3 linked regions of the Rattus norvegicus genome follow. The protein of the gene in region 1 interacts with the protein of each later gene in a pairwise test. Links are inferred from orthologs where the notes say so. Each region holds a gene or a part of one and is shown in the gene's direction. Other genes may lie near its edges.

Region 1 (5,336 bases):
CTGAGTTTGAGCTCAGAATATTTCGCAGCATAAGCTCTGAAGTTGACATATAGATATTATGTAGAACAGAGTTTGAGAGTAAAAAAAATGCCAATGACCATAATAGAGTTCAGACTTCCCTACTCCTTTGTCCCTCAGCCTCAGTCTTCCACAGAGCTCCTGATTGCTGTTTTCCCACTTTTCAGCCTTCTGTTCATAGGCTACTCACCAAGAAATCAGCGTGACATTTGACTTTAATTATAAAACTGTCTTAAAGCCCCACTGACATAATCTTGAACAGATAGAGTAAAAGATTAGTGTGCTGAAGATGTCCTTCCGGGGCTTTCAGAGTACAATTGCTGTGTCAAAGCTACCCCTTCATTCCGTACTGTATTAAATTACTTGAACTTCATTTTTCTCAGGAAACAAAACCTTATGAACTCATTCTTTTAAACATAAGTGTACCAACTTCCTAAACTAAAACAATAATCCCATACATTTAAAAGGTTGGGGGAGAGGACTTAAACCCTGATATTTTACTTGGAAAAATATGAGTAGAAGTCCCACATTTAAGGTCTGTAAAACTTCTCATACTTTCTCAATAGTCACTGAGTAACTACACACGTGTTTGCACTTCCTGTTAGTCAGTTCTCATGGTTCTTTGCATGTGTCTTTTAAACTAGAGCTTTAACTGCCTGTTGTGCATGGTTTGTGCAAATTGCGTTTATTAACTTGTCTTTGTCTTTGATGCTTGCAACCTAATCCATCACAGCTACACTGCCTCGAAAAGAAAGTGCTGTCAAACAGGAGACAGAGAGTGAGTATGCGTACCATGCTGGGAGGCTCTCAGTGCATGGTGTTACTGTCTAGATGCTAGCTGTTTGTCTTGAGAAACATTAACAGCAGATACGTTCATTGCACCGAATCGCCAGGTATTGGAAAAAGAAACCCAGCATGGTGGTTGTCTGTACATCCAAGAAATAAGTGACGTGGTTACAGTTACACAGTGAGGAGTGAAAGCTTTGTTGTCAGAAATGTATGGAAAACCTTAACACCGCACTTCTGTTACAGGTTATGTTTAGAAGAGTCTAACTGTTACTGGAGGGAGGGCTCAGCAGCTGAGAGCACTCGGGTCGGGAGGCTCACAACCCCTGTAACTCCAGCTCCAGGGGATCCCATACCTCTGGCTTCTGCCCACACCCACACGCGCGCGCGCACACACACACACACACACACACACACACACACACACGCACATTAAAGGGATCTGGTAGTGGTTTGTATACTGAGGCCAAAGCTGGAATTGCCCCTGTTATAACTATTTTCCCTTTCTGCCATTACTAAATGGTGTAAATTAACTGAGTCAAGAACTACGGGCTTTCCAAGTGTCTTACTGTCTACATTCTGAGTCCAAACATTATATGTTCTTCTAAGAAGGAGCCATTAGTTCCTTAGTGTGGGTTTCTAGACTCAGGAACATATTAAATTTAATAATAAATGATGGACTTTGATGGGAAATTTGTCAAGAAGTGATAGTGTGGGTCACCTTAATGAACTGCTGTTTAAGACAGACAGTTACTACTCAGCTTTGGGTTTTCTTAGGAATGTCACAAGGTCGGGTCAGCTGCAGTGTTAGCACAGTCCTCAGTGACCCTCATCGGTGCCCCATCTGCTTTGGCTTAGAGAGCACCATAGCTTTACCTTCAGGGCAGGATCCAGTCAGTAAGGTCCTTTCCATCCTGGTCCATAGCTGCATGCAGCTTTCCTTACAGTGTTCTCTGCAGCAGGACCTGGTGTTAAGGAACAGCAAGGACTCTGTAGAAGATGTAGTAGAATCTGAGTCCTGGAGGACAATACTCTAGAAGGTAGCCCCGAGGCAGATTATAGGTCTTTTCTTCATGAGACACAACCTTCAAAGTTCTGTTGTTTCTTAGGTCTCCATGGAAGCTCTGGGAAACTCACTGGATCAACTTCTAGTCTGAATAAACTCAGTGTTCAGAGCTCGGGCAGTCGCAGGTCCCAGTCATCCTCCCTGCTGGACATGGGGAACATGTCCGCTTCTGACCTCGATGTGGCCGACAGAACCAAATTTGATAAGGTAAAATAACAGGCAGTTCTTAACATTAACACTGTGATCGCCTGAAGTGTTTTCAGAGATGCAGGCCTTGTCCTTCCAATTCTGGGTTGGATCTGAAAAATCCCAGTCCAAAGGGCAACTAAAATTTGATTTATCAATTCAGTAACATAAAAGAGTCATTGGCATTTACTTGTTAGAAATATGATGTGTAAATAAAGTCACACCTAAGTTGTTTGAAGAATGACAGAATCCAGAGTTTGAAGAAATGGCCTCACTGTCGGCTGCCATGGTACAGGTAATTTTCAAAGTGTGTCTTCCTCCTCCCAGATCTGAACTGAGGAACTGTGAGTTTTCTTTTCAGTGTGTTTCACTCCAATATTGAATTACTCTGTCAGTCTTGGGAGCGTTGTCTGTGGCACACTGGGGGATCCTAGACTGGGAGATGATCCGGAGTGAATAAACGTGCAGTGTTGTCAGGAGCTCAGAGCTCCGGGCCGTGCTGTGACCGTCAGTGGTTTGCTTTCTGCAGATCTTTGAGCAGGTGCTGAGCGAGCTGGAGCCGCTGTGTCTGGCAGAGCAGGACTTCATAAGTAAATTTTTCAAACTACAGCAACATCAAAACCTGTCTGCGTCAATGGTATGGCTTACATTTAACTGGACAGTATTTATAGTCTAATATAGTTAGCCTAGTTACTTTTGTATTCTGCACTCACAGTTTTGATATCCAAACAGGAAAGGGAAGGCTATCCAATAAGTCAATCTTTAAAGTATTTGTTATTCACAAAATACAGAAAGCAGGAAGGTAGTTGGTTTCAGATTTCTAGGATTCCAGAATTCTTAAGCTGACAACCTCTAAATTAATAAGACAGGAAATGTCTGCATTTATTCTGTAGAGAACTTCATTCAAAAAGCCATTTTAATTGGGGTGTGGTAGCTTGTCTATAATCCGAGCACTTGGGAAGCTTAGTAGGAAGACTGCATGAGTTCCAGGCTGGCCTAGGACACAGAGTATAAGACCTAAAACACCAAAAGTCCTAAAAATTTTAATATTTTGCTGTTCTCAAAGAAAAGCTCTGACCTAAGAGATAATGACACAGAGGGTCAGGGGCCTTAGCTTGGAGTCTGGACACTGTGGGTGCTGCCCGTCCCCAGTCGCTATTAGTGTGGTGCAGATGCACTGCCTGTGGACATGAGAATGGATGAGAGGACTGGAGCCAGTTTTGAAGAATCAAACCACACAGGGAGCTGCGCCCTAAGGCATGAGAAACTCCGCTGCGGGGTAGGAGTGCCGTAAACTTCTCACACAGCTTCAGAAAGGATTCATGACAGCGTTTAGATACTTATATTTATTGTAGGTATTGTGTATTATTTTGCCTGCATGTATGTGTGTGTCCTGCATGTAGAGGAAGCCAGAAGAGGGCGTAGTATGCTTAGGAACTGGAGTTGCAGGTGGCTTTGATGAGCTGTCATAGGGATGTGGGAATCCAACCTGGGTCCTTTGGAAGAGCAGCCAGTGCTTCTAACTACTGAACCGGCTTCTAACCCGACAGCATTTTCAGAGCTGAATTCTCATTCTAAAGTTGTTGGATGTTTTCCTCTGTGTGTGTGTGTGTGTGCGCGCGTGTGTGTGTACGCGTGCACGCGTGCATCTGGCCTCATGCACTTTCTCTTCCTCTTCACAGCCATAGTGTACACATATACAACTACAACTTTTTACCTTATAGTACTTCTCAGGGTTGGGGTGCAGGGGTCTAAAAGCAGGCTGAATAAGATGGGTCATTGCTGAGCAAACCTGTGGACCTGAGTTTTATTCCTGGAACCTACAGAAGAGTGAAGTATATAAGAACAGACTCGGGGCTGGGGATTTAGCTCAGTGGTAGAGCGCTTACCTAGGAAGCGCAAGGCCCTGGGTTCGGTCCCCAGCTCCGAAAAAAAGAACCCAAAAAAAAAAAAAAGAACAGACTCCATCACAGTCTTCTGCCCTCCACACATGCACTGTGTCACTTCCCTGCACACATAGTTAACAAACTGTTAAAATCTAAGAACAATGTATTTCATGAAATTTTCTTAAACATACAATATTAAGTTACTTTAATAGTAATAAAATATTACTATTTTCTAGAATATATTTTCTTGTAGGTGTTTTTAAAAGTAGCCTTTTGATATATAAACTTGTCACTGTGTTGGTCTTATGTGTGAGTATTTTTCAGGCTGAAGCAGAAGACCTGGATGGAGGCTCATTATCACGGCCACAGAGTTCTGGCTCCCTGCTGCCTGTGTCCTCTGAGTATGTATTTATTACTCTGCATGTCTGGAAAACATAAACTTTGAGACATAAGGAAGTGCTTCTCATTAATTTCTGGTTACCTGCTGGTCCCCACACAGACCTGTGTGCGATCCTGGTTATCCTTCTGTTGGTGTGGTGAGGGAAACACTGATAGAAGCACGAGTTGATCTTGGCCTGCAGTTCAGGTGGAGAAATCAAGGCAGCAGGAACTTGAAGCCTGTGGTCATGTGCCATCCCTTGTCAGGAAGAGCAGAGCAATGAATGCCTGTGTTTAGCTCTCTTTTTCCTTTTTATACAGTCCAGAATCCAGCCCAGGGAATGGTGCCACCCATAGTAGGAAGATTTTCCTACATCAAATAACAAAGTCAAGACAATGTTCCCCCCCCACCCCGCGCATGTCCAGAAGCAGTGTAGCATAGGTAATCTTTCACAGTTATAAATGAATGCTTGTCTCCTGGGTAATTCTAGGTCCTGTTGGGTTGACAATGGGCACATGTGCTAAGGGCTTGTGAACTCCTCTGTCTGGTAATCATAGGTGGATTTGTCAGTGCTAGTGTTTGCTGCGAGAAAGTAACCTTCAAACTGTAGTGTGGACTTCTTAGCAATAGAAAAGCATAGTTTAGTGCCCAGCTTTGGAAATTGAAGCAAAGCTAATCAGAATGATAAAACTTAACTTTGGTCGGCCAGTTTTATATTCAAAACTGCTAAAGAATGATTCATTATAGTTTGATACTTTTACTTGTAGTGCCAATGTTTAGCTGTGTTTTTATATAGTACATTACAGTCACAGTTAAAGGTGAATTCAGCCAAAGTTTATACTAACTATATGTTTTTTCATACTTCCTGAACAGGAAAGATATGATTCGCCAAATGATGATCAAAATATTCCGTTGCATTGAACCAGAGCTGAACAACCTCATTGCATTAGGAGACAAAGTTGATAGCTTTAACTCCCTGTACATGCTTGTCAAGATGAGCCACCACGTGTGGACG
Region 2 (5,336 bases), on another chromosome or scaffold:
GATAAAGTATGTGTTACTCGAGTGTGAATGTTGGGTGGGTGTGGCAGTCTGCCTGTACTCCCAGCTCTTGAGGGACAGGATCCGGGAAGAAGCTGGGCAGCTAAGCTAGATGAATTGATGAGCTTTAGGCCCGACTGAGAGATCCTGCCCCAGTTCTAGATAAGGTGGAGCCATACAGGAGATGCCCATTGTCAACCTCAGGCTCTACCCACGTGCCCAGACCATACAAATACACATTTGTGCACACATAACACACACACATGCCACAAACAACAATAACAAAACCCCACAAGGCTGGGTGTTGATGGGAAGCAGAGAGGAGGACTGTGCCAAGTTCAAATCCAGCCTACTCTACACACCCAAGTCCCAGGCCAGCCAATTGTGTCTAACGGGACCTTTAAAAATTTAAGTGGGATTTGACTCATCTTTGTAGTCCGTACTTCAGGAGGGCGAGGCAGGAGGATTGCCTTGAGTTTGAGCCCAACCTCAAAGAAGCTATCTCAAAAATTAGATAGAGGGGCTGAGGATTTAGCTCAGTGGTAGAGCGCTTACCTAGGAAGCACAAGGCCCTGGGTTCGGTCCCCAGCTCCGAAAAAAAGAACCAAAAAAAAAAAAAAATTAGATAGATAGATAGATGATAGATAGATAGATAGATAATAGACAGACAGACTAGATATAGATAGATAGATAGATAGATAGATAGATAGATAGATGATAGACAGACAGACTAGATATAGATAGATAGATAGATAGATAGATAGATAGATAGATAGATAACAGACAGACTAGATATAGATAGATAGATAGATAGATAGATAGATAGATAGATAGATAACAGACAGACTAGAGATAGATAGATAGATAGATAATAGACAGACAGACTAGAGATAGATAGATAAATAGATAGATAGATAACAGACAGACAGACTAAAGATAGATAGATAGATAGATAGATAGATAGATAGATAGATAGATAGATAGATAGATAGATAGATAGCAAATGAAAGAAGGGACAGAGAGATCGCGTTTTAGAAAATGTTAGGGTCCCAGGGGATGAGCCCGTGTCTCAGAGCTGTGGAGAAGCCGCAGGTAGACTGAGGTTGGAGGGATGGATCACAATTCATCTCCCTTAAACCTGTCCAGATTTACTCTTCTTGGACCCGTCTGGAAAGATGGAGGCCCCAGACTGTTCTTGTGGCAGAAGTAAGAATGGGCAGGGGGCTCAGCTGGAGAGAGAGTCGGGTTGTCAGTGCCAGACAGTTACTTCTCAGTGGCTGATCGGTTCTAGAGAGGGTGGGCATCCCCATCCCTATGTGTGGTTCCTGCTACCTCAGTGGATGTAGATGGCTGGTAGGGGGCATTCATTGAGGCTGTTTTATTTTTATTATTATTATTATTATTATTATTATTATTATTATTATTATTATTGAGGCACGATTTTGCTGTATAGCCCAGGCTGGCTTTTTTAAATGCTCCTTTCCAGTCATTATCAGATTTCCTACAGACCCTGTCTCATGGTCCATCTTTGGAGTCTGACCTCAGGCGCTCCCCTTGACCTCCCTCCATCATCCTGAGTTGCAGCTCCTGCCTGCCCTTCAGGTCTCTCTTTAGGAAAACTTTGCTGGGTTTCCTCTTATGTGAAGCAAGTCCAATTCTCCTGCCCTGCACATAGCCTTGCACATAGCTTTCTGCACATCAGCTACATGTGGGGCGCAGTCCCCTGAGTGGATCTCTGTGGGCTGGAGGGCTGGGACTGTGGCTGTGCACAGACCAGAGTAGCGGATGCCCGTCTCGGGTTACCGTGGGTTACCGGGCTGTTTCTTCCCCCAGGGCTGTGGTGTTCTCAGCTTCTTCGTTTCTTTTCCCCTTAATTTTCTTTGCAAAGTACCCACAGTCTACGTGAAGACTTCCTCTGAGTCATGTGAGACTTTCTCTGGGGAAGGGTGGGGCCCACTTGTTCCCCTCTTAAGTCCCAGGGGCTGTCCTGTGGGTGTCCCACCAGGGTTTTCATAATTGGACTCAGGGAGTGGTACTGGGGCTGATTAGCATGTAGCCATGCCCCGCCCCTGGCCAGACAGGAAATTGGATGTGAGCCCGAGAAGAGAGGTCAGCAGTGTGGCCCCACTGACTGCTTTTAGGGGAGCGTGCTACAGAGCATGTGTGGACATCAGAGGACTGCCTCAGGTGTGGGTCCTCACTGACTACCTTGTTTGAGATAGGATGTGGCTATGTTTCTGCATTCACCACACTAGCCGCCCTGGTCTGTGGGCATCTGGGGGATTCCGCTGTCTCCGCCATCTCCCTCCCGCCCTGGAGCACCAGGTTTCAGAGGCATGCTAATCGGGTCGGCTCTGTGTGGACTCTGGGGACTTAGACTTAGGTCCTCACAAGTGCATAGCAAGCACTTTACCTGGGAGGTGTCATCTTCCCAGCCCTGCATATGATGCAGTCACATCACTCAGCCCACTCTTGAGGGGGGAACACCAACAGCCCTAAAGTAGTAGAGAGTCACCTACGAGGAAACAAACAGATGAGATTGATTTCAGTTTATCTTAGTTTAGTATATCTCACATCTCATCCATCTGAAAAATGGCAATGGGATAACCAACATTTTTCTACTGAGATTTTAAAATGAGGTGGATATTCTTTTGGTGTGTGTGCGCACGCACGTGTGTGGTGCATGTATGTATACTCACATGTGGCATACATGTGAGCATGTATGTACTCATGGCTATGTGTGCACATGTGCTTGTGGGTGAGTGGGAATCAAGAATCTTCCTCAATCAATGGTCCGCTTCAGTTTTTGAGCCCGGAACTCTTCAGCTAGTCTTTCTAACCAGCTTGCTTCAAGAACCGCCGTCCTCATTTTCTGAGCTGGGGCAGCTGCCACACCTCCAGGCGTTTGTGAGCTTTGGAGATCTGAGCCTCCGGTCCTCTCGCATGTGTGGCAAGCACCTCAACTCCTGAGCTCTGTCTAGGCTGTAAGGGATGTTTACATTTTTCGTTAATCACATTTAGATGCTCTGGGGTTACATGTTGGCCTGAGACTTTTTAAAGTGCTGGCAGTGCAAGCATCTGGACCGAGTTCCCAATCCACAGGACCTGCGTAAGAAAGCCAGGCCCAGCAGTAACCCCAGCAACCGAGAGGTGGGTGGATCCCAGGGCTCACAGGCAGCAGCCTAGCCTCACAGGGGACTTCCTGCCAGTGAGAAGCCTTGTCACAGAAAACAAGGCTCCCGAGGAGTGGTCTTCAGTGTTAACGTTAGGTTTCTCCATGTACACACGTCCACGGACATACACGTCCTTGTACGTACATGTCCACGGACATACACAGGCCCGGCATACGCTGTCTGCCGTAGATAGGAGCACAGCTGCTGTGTGCGTTTCCCTTCCTTCTGAAAGCAGGACGTGTGCTCTTGGTAGGCCTGGGCCTGGGTGTCAGTGTGGGCTGAGAGGGCTGCCTGGCAGTGGGCTGCTAGGCTGGCAGTCGTGTACTGGGGTGTTTGCCTGGCCTGGAGCCTTGTTTCTGACCAGCTCTGCAGTCTCAGGAAAAGCTGTTTCCAGCTGCTAGGCCTCATCTGCAGAATGGGGCCTATAACTGTGGTCTCTGGAGCACTCTGGGCTGTGACGTGCAGGGAAGATTCCCAGGACTGCTATGCCCACCTGGGCTTCATTCCTAAGCCAGGGCATCAGAGAAAGGCCTCATTAGCCATTGGCAGCACAGATGCAAGGTCTGTCGAGCTCCAGACTATGGAGGCTGTCTGCTCACCAACCTGGTATTCACTCAGCCATCGGCCTCCTGTAACCCCATCCTGTGCGTGAGGGACTTCCCTGTGCAGCCTCCAAGAGGGAGGCAGAGGTGGATCAAATCCTGGGCCACTCATCTCTGGGGGTGGGGGATGGACCCAGGGACCCCCGGGCTTCACCTCAGGCCTTACAAGACCTTCTCTCTCAACAGGCTCAGCTAGAAGCGCAGAAAGCCACACAGGACTTCCAGAGGGCCACTGAGGTGCTCCGTGCAGCCAAGGAGACAATCTCCCTGGCCGAGCAGCGGCTGCTGGAGGATGACAAGCGCCAGTTTGACTCTGCTTGGCAGGAAATGCTGAATCACGCTACTCAGAGGGTAGGTGTGGCCGTGTGTGCTGGTGCTGGGGACCCAGGCCTACAGGCTGTTCTTTGACTCCACACGAGAGTAGAGGTAGCTTTCTGGGTGGCATAGAACCCTCCTGTACAGGCCATGGACTCTCTGCCTTATGTAGTGTGTTGGCTGGCAGGGCTTTAAGCCACCAGTGACAGGTGGACATAATCTTTCTCTGTATTGCCTTAAATGTGTCCTCAGGTTCATGTGGTCCACCACTGTCTTGGCAGTGGAGTTGGGTTTTCCAGAGGGGCCAGGATGTTCTCCAAGGTTGGCTTCATGACCTCAGAAGGACTGCAGGCCCCAAGTGGAAGCCCAATTAACACTTTTGACCTGCCACTGGGTATATGTTGGTGGTGGGTGAAGTACCCAGACTGGAATAAGTGGGTAGACCCTCAGGAAGGGCCTTCTGGGTGAAGCTTGCGTCTGGGGAGTAGCGCTCTGTAGGCAGGAGCTGGGAGTGGTTGTCATAAGGGCTTTACGTCGCCATTATTTGGCTCTTGACCTGTTCCCACCTTGCTCAGAATTGGAAGTGATATTGTCTGGTCCAGGCAGACTAGTAAACAAAATACTGGCTGACTTCAAAACAGAAATACATCCCTCACAGTTCTGGAAGCCAGGAAGTCCAAAGCCAAGGCTGATGTGTATGCTGTCTGATGAAGACCCGTTTCTGGTCCTCAAAGGGCTCTCTCCTCTTAAGGTAGCAAATGAGCCTTCTCAGACCTTCCTGCCCGTCTGCTTGCCTGCCTGCCTGCCTGCCTGCCTGCCTGCCTGCCTTCCTTCCTTTCTTCCTTCTTTCCTCCCTCCTTCCCTCCTTCCTTCCTTCCTTCCTTCCTTCCTTCCTTCCTTCCTTCCTTCCTTGTGCTTGTGCTAGGGATCGACCCCAGGCCCCTTCACACTGTAGGCAAGCACTCCAACATTGAACCACAGTGGGGCCCCACCCCTCTGGTCCCACAGCATCACTTCCCCAAGGCCCACCTCGATATCCACACTGGGGACATTTCCATTCCAGCAGGTAGAGCCGTGTGCTTGACACTGTGGCATTGGGGTTTACTGGGATCACAGGATCCACTTCCTGCTTCCGATTCGGCTTCCGATTCTTGGTCCCCTTGGCCCTAGCCTGTCCTCCCTGCAAGGCCAGTGTCAAAGCAAGGCTGGGGGTTTGCTGTGGGTCAGGCCAGTGAGCTGCAGCCCCTGG
Region 3 (5,336 bases), on another chromosome or scaffold:
CCTGGTTCAAGGTAGATATTCAGGAAGCTTTGCTTTTTTTGTTTTTGTTTTTGTTGCAGTTGTTATTTTTGTTTTGAGTAAATATAAATATGAACTCTATCTTTGAAGAGAATGGCAGGTACATATGGGTGAATAATTTTGTCTGTCATAAAGTAGTGTTTTCAGCATTGACTTTTCCCACCTCCAGTTTGTTGAGGGGCAGGTAAGATGTCCTTTCTCTCTTTTTTTTTAAAGATATATTTTACTTTAAAAATTATGTGTCTGTGCATGAGTACAGGTGCCTTCAGTGGCTAGAGACTTTGAATCCCCTTGTAGCTGGAGTTATAGGCAGGATGCCTGATAAGGGTGCTGGGAATTGAACTCACATTTTCTGCAAAGAGCAGTACATGTTCTTAACCACTGAATAATAAAGTTTCCATGCCTTTTTTATTTTTTTAACGATCGTGTGCCTCTCTCTACAGGACCTCTGCGGGGACTAACTTAAGTTTTGTCTTTTCTCATTTAGAGGCTTGTGACTGAATGCATTCTCTTTGGTAACTCTCTAGGATGAAATTCTTAAAGCAGCGGTAATGAAATATGGGAAAAACCAGTGGTCTAGGATTGCCTCATTGCTGCATAGGAAATCGGCAAAGCAGTGCAAAGCCAGATGGTATGTATGTACCAGTCAGTCCAGGGGAAAGCAGTGTGATCCGGATCCCCACTGTGATGAGGGAGCTGGCTCTTTGACCCCCTCTATTCCCCTAAAGCATGAACTGTGATATGGAGGGAAGTATGGAAAGAGGGGCCTTTAGATGTACTTACCACTTGCTTCCTGTGTCTTGAGCAAACCATTTTTCCTCCTCTTTACCCTGCCTGTTTTCTCACAACTTAGCACTAATTGATCAGTTGTGAATCCTTGTCCAAGTGAGTTAATGTATTTATTTGAGAGTGCCTTGTGAGACACAATACAAAATCTTAGGTAGCTGGGCCTCAGTTCATTGAATAAGTTGTGGTCTAAAAGTTTATAAATTGGTTATTTTAGGACTTACTTTCCCAAAGAAATAAATGCTAAACAGTGCTTTTTTTTTTTTTTTAAAGGCCAGGTCACAGTGGTTAGCTTCCTTTTAATAGGGCAGCAATATTGCATATTTGCTATACTAAAATGCAACATTCTACTTATGTGTTACCTTGTTAAGTCACAGAGTGGTGGTCATGAGCAGTGTCCTGGACTTGGATGAACCATCTCGGCTGCAGCCCATATGCTATGAGGAGCAGGATTTGGATTGTGTGAAGTGACCCAGATTCTGATGGTGGGAAGGGTCAGATGCAGAGCAGAAGGAAGGGGGCTCTCAGGCTGCAGTAGTTTGATTCACTTTCTCTTAGTGACTGTAAGCCTTAAGCTTCAGCCTAGCTGGAGCACCAGTGGCAGTGAGGACTTAGACATGTGGACAGGTTCTCACCCAGCTAACCACCTCATGGACAAGGCAGACTGAGACGTTAGAAGACGGACAGTGTCTTCTACTTTAAACTTAAAAGTACAGCACATGGAAGCACACAGCTCTGGAACATTAAACAGTGGGTTTAAGTGGACGTTTAGAGAAGTAAGTGAAGATGCTGTGGGACTCAAACATAAGGATGTACAGTGAAATTGTAATATAAATAATACAAGGTGCTATTTTTTCCAGGTACTTTTAGCAGTTCAGAAAATCTAAGAACAAGTGCTGGGTATGGTGATGCACATCTGTAATCCCATCATGGAATGCAGAGGCAGGCAGATGTCTGAATGCTAGGCCAGCCTGGTCTACAGATGGAGTTCTAGGACAGACAATGGTACACAGAGAAACCCTATCTCAAAAAACCAGAAAACCCAAAACAAAACAACACAATTACCACAAAAAACAAACCAAATAGACATAAAACAAAAGACGGTTAAACAAATAAAAATAAGTACTAGTTAAAAAAAAAAGAAGTTCCATGATTGCATCTTGGACTTTAGTTTGTTAGAGTTTTAAGTCTCACTAGTCTTTTTTTTTTTTTTTTTTTAAAGATTTATTCATTTATTATATATGAGTACACTGTAGCTGTTTTCAGATACACCAGAAGAGGGCATCAGATCTCTTTACAGATGGTTGTGAGCCACCATGTGGTTGCTGGGAATTGAACTCAGGACCTCTGGAAGAGTAGTCGGGTGCTCTTAACCACTGAGCCATCTCTCCAGCCCAAGTCTCACTAGTCTCACTAGTCTTATATACTGAACATACATTGTAATGTGAAGAGGGGCAGATGAGTTAGTTCAGCTTCACAGTGAGTTCTCTTGTCAGCATAGTGTTAGTGATTGAAGGATGAGAGCATGTGGTCTTAGAGTCGGTACATGGAGTACTAATGTTTGATATGTTGTCTTTAACAGGTACGAATGGCTGGACCCAAGTATTAAGAAAACTGAATGGTCCAGAGAAGAGGAAGAAAAGCTCTTGCACTTGGCCAAGCTGATGCCAACGCAGTGGAGGACCATTGCTCCAATCATAGGAAGGACAGCAGCCCAGTGCTTGGAGCACTATGAATTCCTCCTGTGAGTGGGCCTCAGAGTGTCCTGAAGGCTGTGTTATGTTAACCTGCTGAACAAGCTTAGAGCATTTCCAGCTTAGTTGTGCCTGTGACTAAAGCCAGAGAAACCAAAGTCACTGAATTCTGTATTCCAGATGTCGAATGGTTGAGCAAAATGATGTTTTCCGCCTCTCCTGTAGAAGGGTAGTTTACAAAATGTGCTAGTCACACTCAGGAAAGTGTGAGTGTGAGTGTGAGTGGGTGCATGAGGCCCCATCACCAACGCAGCGCTGCTGAGAGCTTATTAGGACTTTGTCGTTCTGTTCCAGGAGTGTATTTGTCTGGATGTTCTGTATTTGTGAGGAATGGCTGCTTGTTTCCTCATGAGTGGAAATACTGAAATTAGAGAATTGTAATGTCCCTTTTATTCTCATGAAGCAGTTGTAAAGATGCTGTTTTCCATAACACTCATCTGTTGGTTATTTTGGGAAAGAAAGGAGTGCCAGAGCCAGAACCTTGGTAATTCTCATACTAAATGGGGTGATGCTGTGACTGACTCATCTGGGGTTTGTTTTTTTCCCTCCAAGGGACAAAACTGCCCAAAGGGACAATGAAGAGGAAACAACAGATGACCCCCGAAAACTTAAGCCTGGAGAGATAGATCCAAATCCAGAAACCAAACCAGCCCGGCCTGATCCAATTGACATGGATGAGGGTGAGTGGATGCTGGGAAGAATTTCTGCTCACAACATGTGACTCAGGCCTTCCTCACACTCTTCTTAGTTTCTCCTGAACTCCTGATGTTTAGAATCCCAGTTCTGTCAGTGGTTATTCTAGGTATCTCCCCAAATGTGTCTGGTTTTTTGATGATACCCTTTATTTTCTCTTTCTTCATTTCATTTAATGAATTGATCAGTGTAGTAGTCAGATGTGCCAGAAGTGGGTGATGAGGCTCGCAGGATCCTGTCTCTCGTTCCTTTTCTAGAAGGAGAGACAACAAGCTAGCATATTGGACTTTGCTGTTTTTTTGACTTTAGGGTGATTTACTCTCTAGGAAAGGACTGGTCTTCAAGAGCTATGCTGGAGACTGACAGTGATTCTGTAACACATCGAGTCAAGAGTCCGGGATTGGCCTTTGGGTCCATCTCTGCTATTTACTAGCTGTTTGACCTTAGCTAAGTCATGTAGGCTCTTTGAACTTGAGAATAATACCTCCTTTACCTTTTTTTGGGTACGTGGTAGTTTAAAGATGAAAAGATTTAAAACCTGAATGCAGTGGCTCCCAAGAGTGACGAGTATGTGACTATGAGGCTGTTACATCCTTTCCACTTGGGGAACTTTTAAAGCTGTAGGCACCAGGTCCTCCCCTGAGGAAACTGAGTTGGTAATTCTTACTGAGGGAAGAGAGAGGACTATGATCTGAGTGGAGTCTTAAGTCTTGTCCATCATTATGAGACTGCTTTTGTTGTTTTGTTGGGGAGAGCTGTAGAAAATGTCTTGGAGAAAAAACAATTCTGAGGGGAAAAATGTCTGAAGGTTATCAGTTCCCCATGATTAGTTGCTGCATTATTTCTCTGCTGGTGAAGTGTCATTTTGTTGGTGTTACGGATGCTATTGTAGTAGAGCTTTCTGTGAGCAAATACTTGATCCTTGCTTGATATACTTCATTTTTCTTAGCTCTTAGCATCTCTGAAGTAGACATTCTTATTCTGATTTTAATGGGAAACATTTTCACAGAGGTAAATATGGCACGAGGCCTACATAACGAGCAAGTTAATGATGGGATGATTTGTAACCTTTCTCTGACTTGACAAGTTTTCTGTGCCCTGTACCAGTAGTGAGTATATTTATGCTTTTGTCATTGTAAGCACTGGGATATGCCTGACTGCTGTTGTTGGAGAGGAACTTATTTTTCTTGTCTTTATTTTCGCAGATGAACTTGAGATGCTTTCTGAGGCTCGAGCCCGTTTGGCCAATACTCAAGGAAAGAAGGCTAAGAGGAAAGCAAGAGAAAAGCAGTTGGAAGAAGCAAGGCATGTTTTCTTTTCATTCTATGTACAGTAATTGGTTATGCGTCCTTAGGTTCAGGCAACTGTATGGTTATCTGCTCTAGTTGGTAACTAGTCTGAACTGATCAATTCCCATTTTGCTGTTACTCCTTAGTGCCTTTATTGTTCTGGAACATCTGGAACAAACAAAAACAACTTCTGTATTTTCTCCCTAACCATTTCAGAATAGTTATAGGAAAAATACACTTAAAAAGTTTACAAAGCATGGCAGAAATTACGGGCAAATACTTGACCCAGCATGCTGTGTTTGATCTCTTGTAGCATTGTGGCTTCAGGTGGCTTTCACATGATTGTCAGTTTCCAGCTCCTCATCCTCTTGGTCAGTGTTGGGCAGGACTCCCAGCTGATCCTAGAGGGACTTAAAGTTAATGAGCCTTGAGCCAAAGTCTAGGCTGTCGGAGAAATCGTCACTTAAAAAGCGAGCGAACTGTATTAGGCATTGTTCTTTGCTTAGGCCTTCCCCCACCTTCTCCTTGCTTCCTTTTGGTTGAATTTATATCATTCTGATGCCCAGAAGCTAAGATAAAGTTGGTAAAGATACCATCTGAACTGTGTGGCAGTTGGTGGGATTCAGGTATTGATAAACTCCCTACCCCACAGTCTACCTAGAGCCTTTTTTGGCTCCTGTGCTGTCTAGAACTTGCTTTTTGACCTAGTGGGTAGCTAGCACTGTGTTGGTATTCCCAGTGCTGGATCCTGGGATGGAGGATGCTTTTGGCATAGTAGCTGGCCATTCATTAGTGT

The links.
Region 2: the proteins of Exoc1 (region 1) and Sh3bp5 interact in a two-hybrid assay, tested with the Homo sapiens proteins (2 studies listed by BioGRID and IntAct). The link is inferred for Rattus norvegicus from reciprocal best matches to the Homo sapiens genes EXOC1 and SH3BP5.
Region 3: the proteins of Exoc1 (region 1) and Cdc5l interact in a two-hybrid assay, tested with the Homo sapiens proteins (2 studies listed by BioGRID and IntAct). The link is inferred for Rattus norvegicus from reciprocal best matches to the Homo sapiens genes EXOC1 and CDC5L.

What each region holds. Positions count from the first base shown.
Region 1 is NC_086032.1:31,978,726-31,984,061, reverse strand, and holds part of Exoc1 (exocyst complex component 1), read left to right. Parts: intron 1-751; coding exon of another isoform or gene 752-796; intron 797-1,913; coding exon 1,914-2,077; intron 2,078-2,585; coding exon 2,586-2,693; intron 2,694-4,266; coding exon 4,267-4,343; intron 4,344-5,194; coding exon 5,195-5,336.
Region 2 is NC_086034.1:6,601,906-6,607,241, reverse strand, and holds part of Sh3bp5 (SH3 domain-binding protein 5), read left to right. Parts: exon of another isoform or gene 1-501; intron 502-3,151; exon of another isoform or gene 3,152-3,419; intron 3,420-3,958; coding exon 3,959-4,123; intron 4,124-4,745; coding exon of another isoform or gene 4,746-4,838; intron 4,839-5,336. UniProt on the Homo sapiens protein: Functions as a guanine nucleotide exchange factor (GEF) with specificity for RAB11A and RAB25. Inhibits the auto- and transphosphorylation activity of BTK. Plays a negative regulatory role in BTK-related cytoplasmic signaling in B-cells.
Region 3 is NC_086027.1:23,064,367-23,069,702, forward strand, and holds part of Cdc5l (cell division cycle 5-like protein), read left to right. Parts: intron 1-545; coding exon 546-649; intron 650-2,386; coding exon 2,387-2,548; intron 2,549-3,110; coding exon 3,111-3,238; intron 3,239-4,456; coding exon 4,457-4,556; intron 4,557-5,336.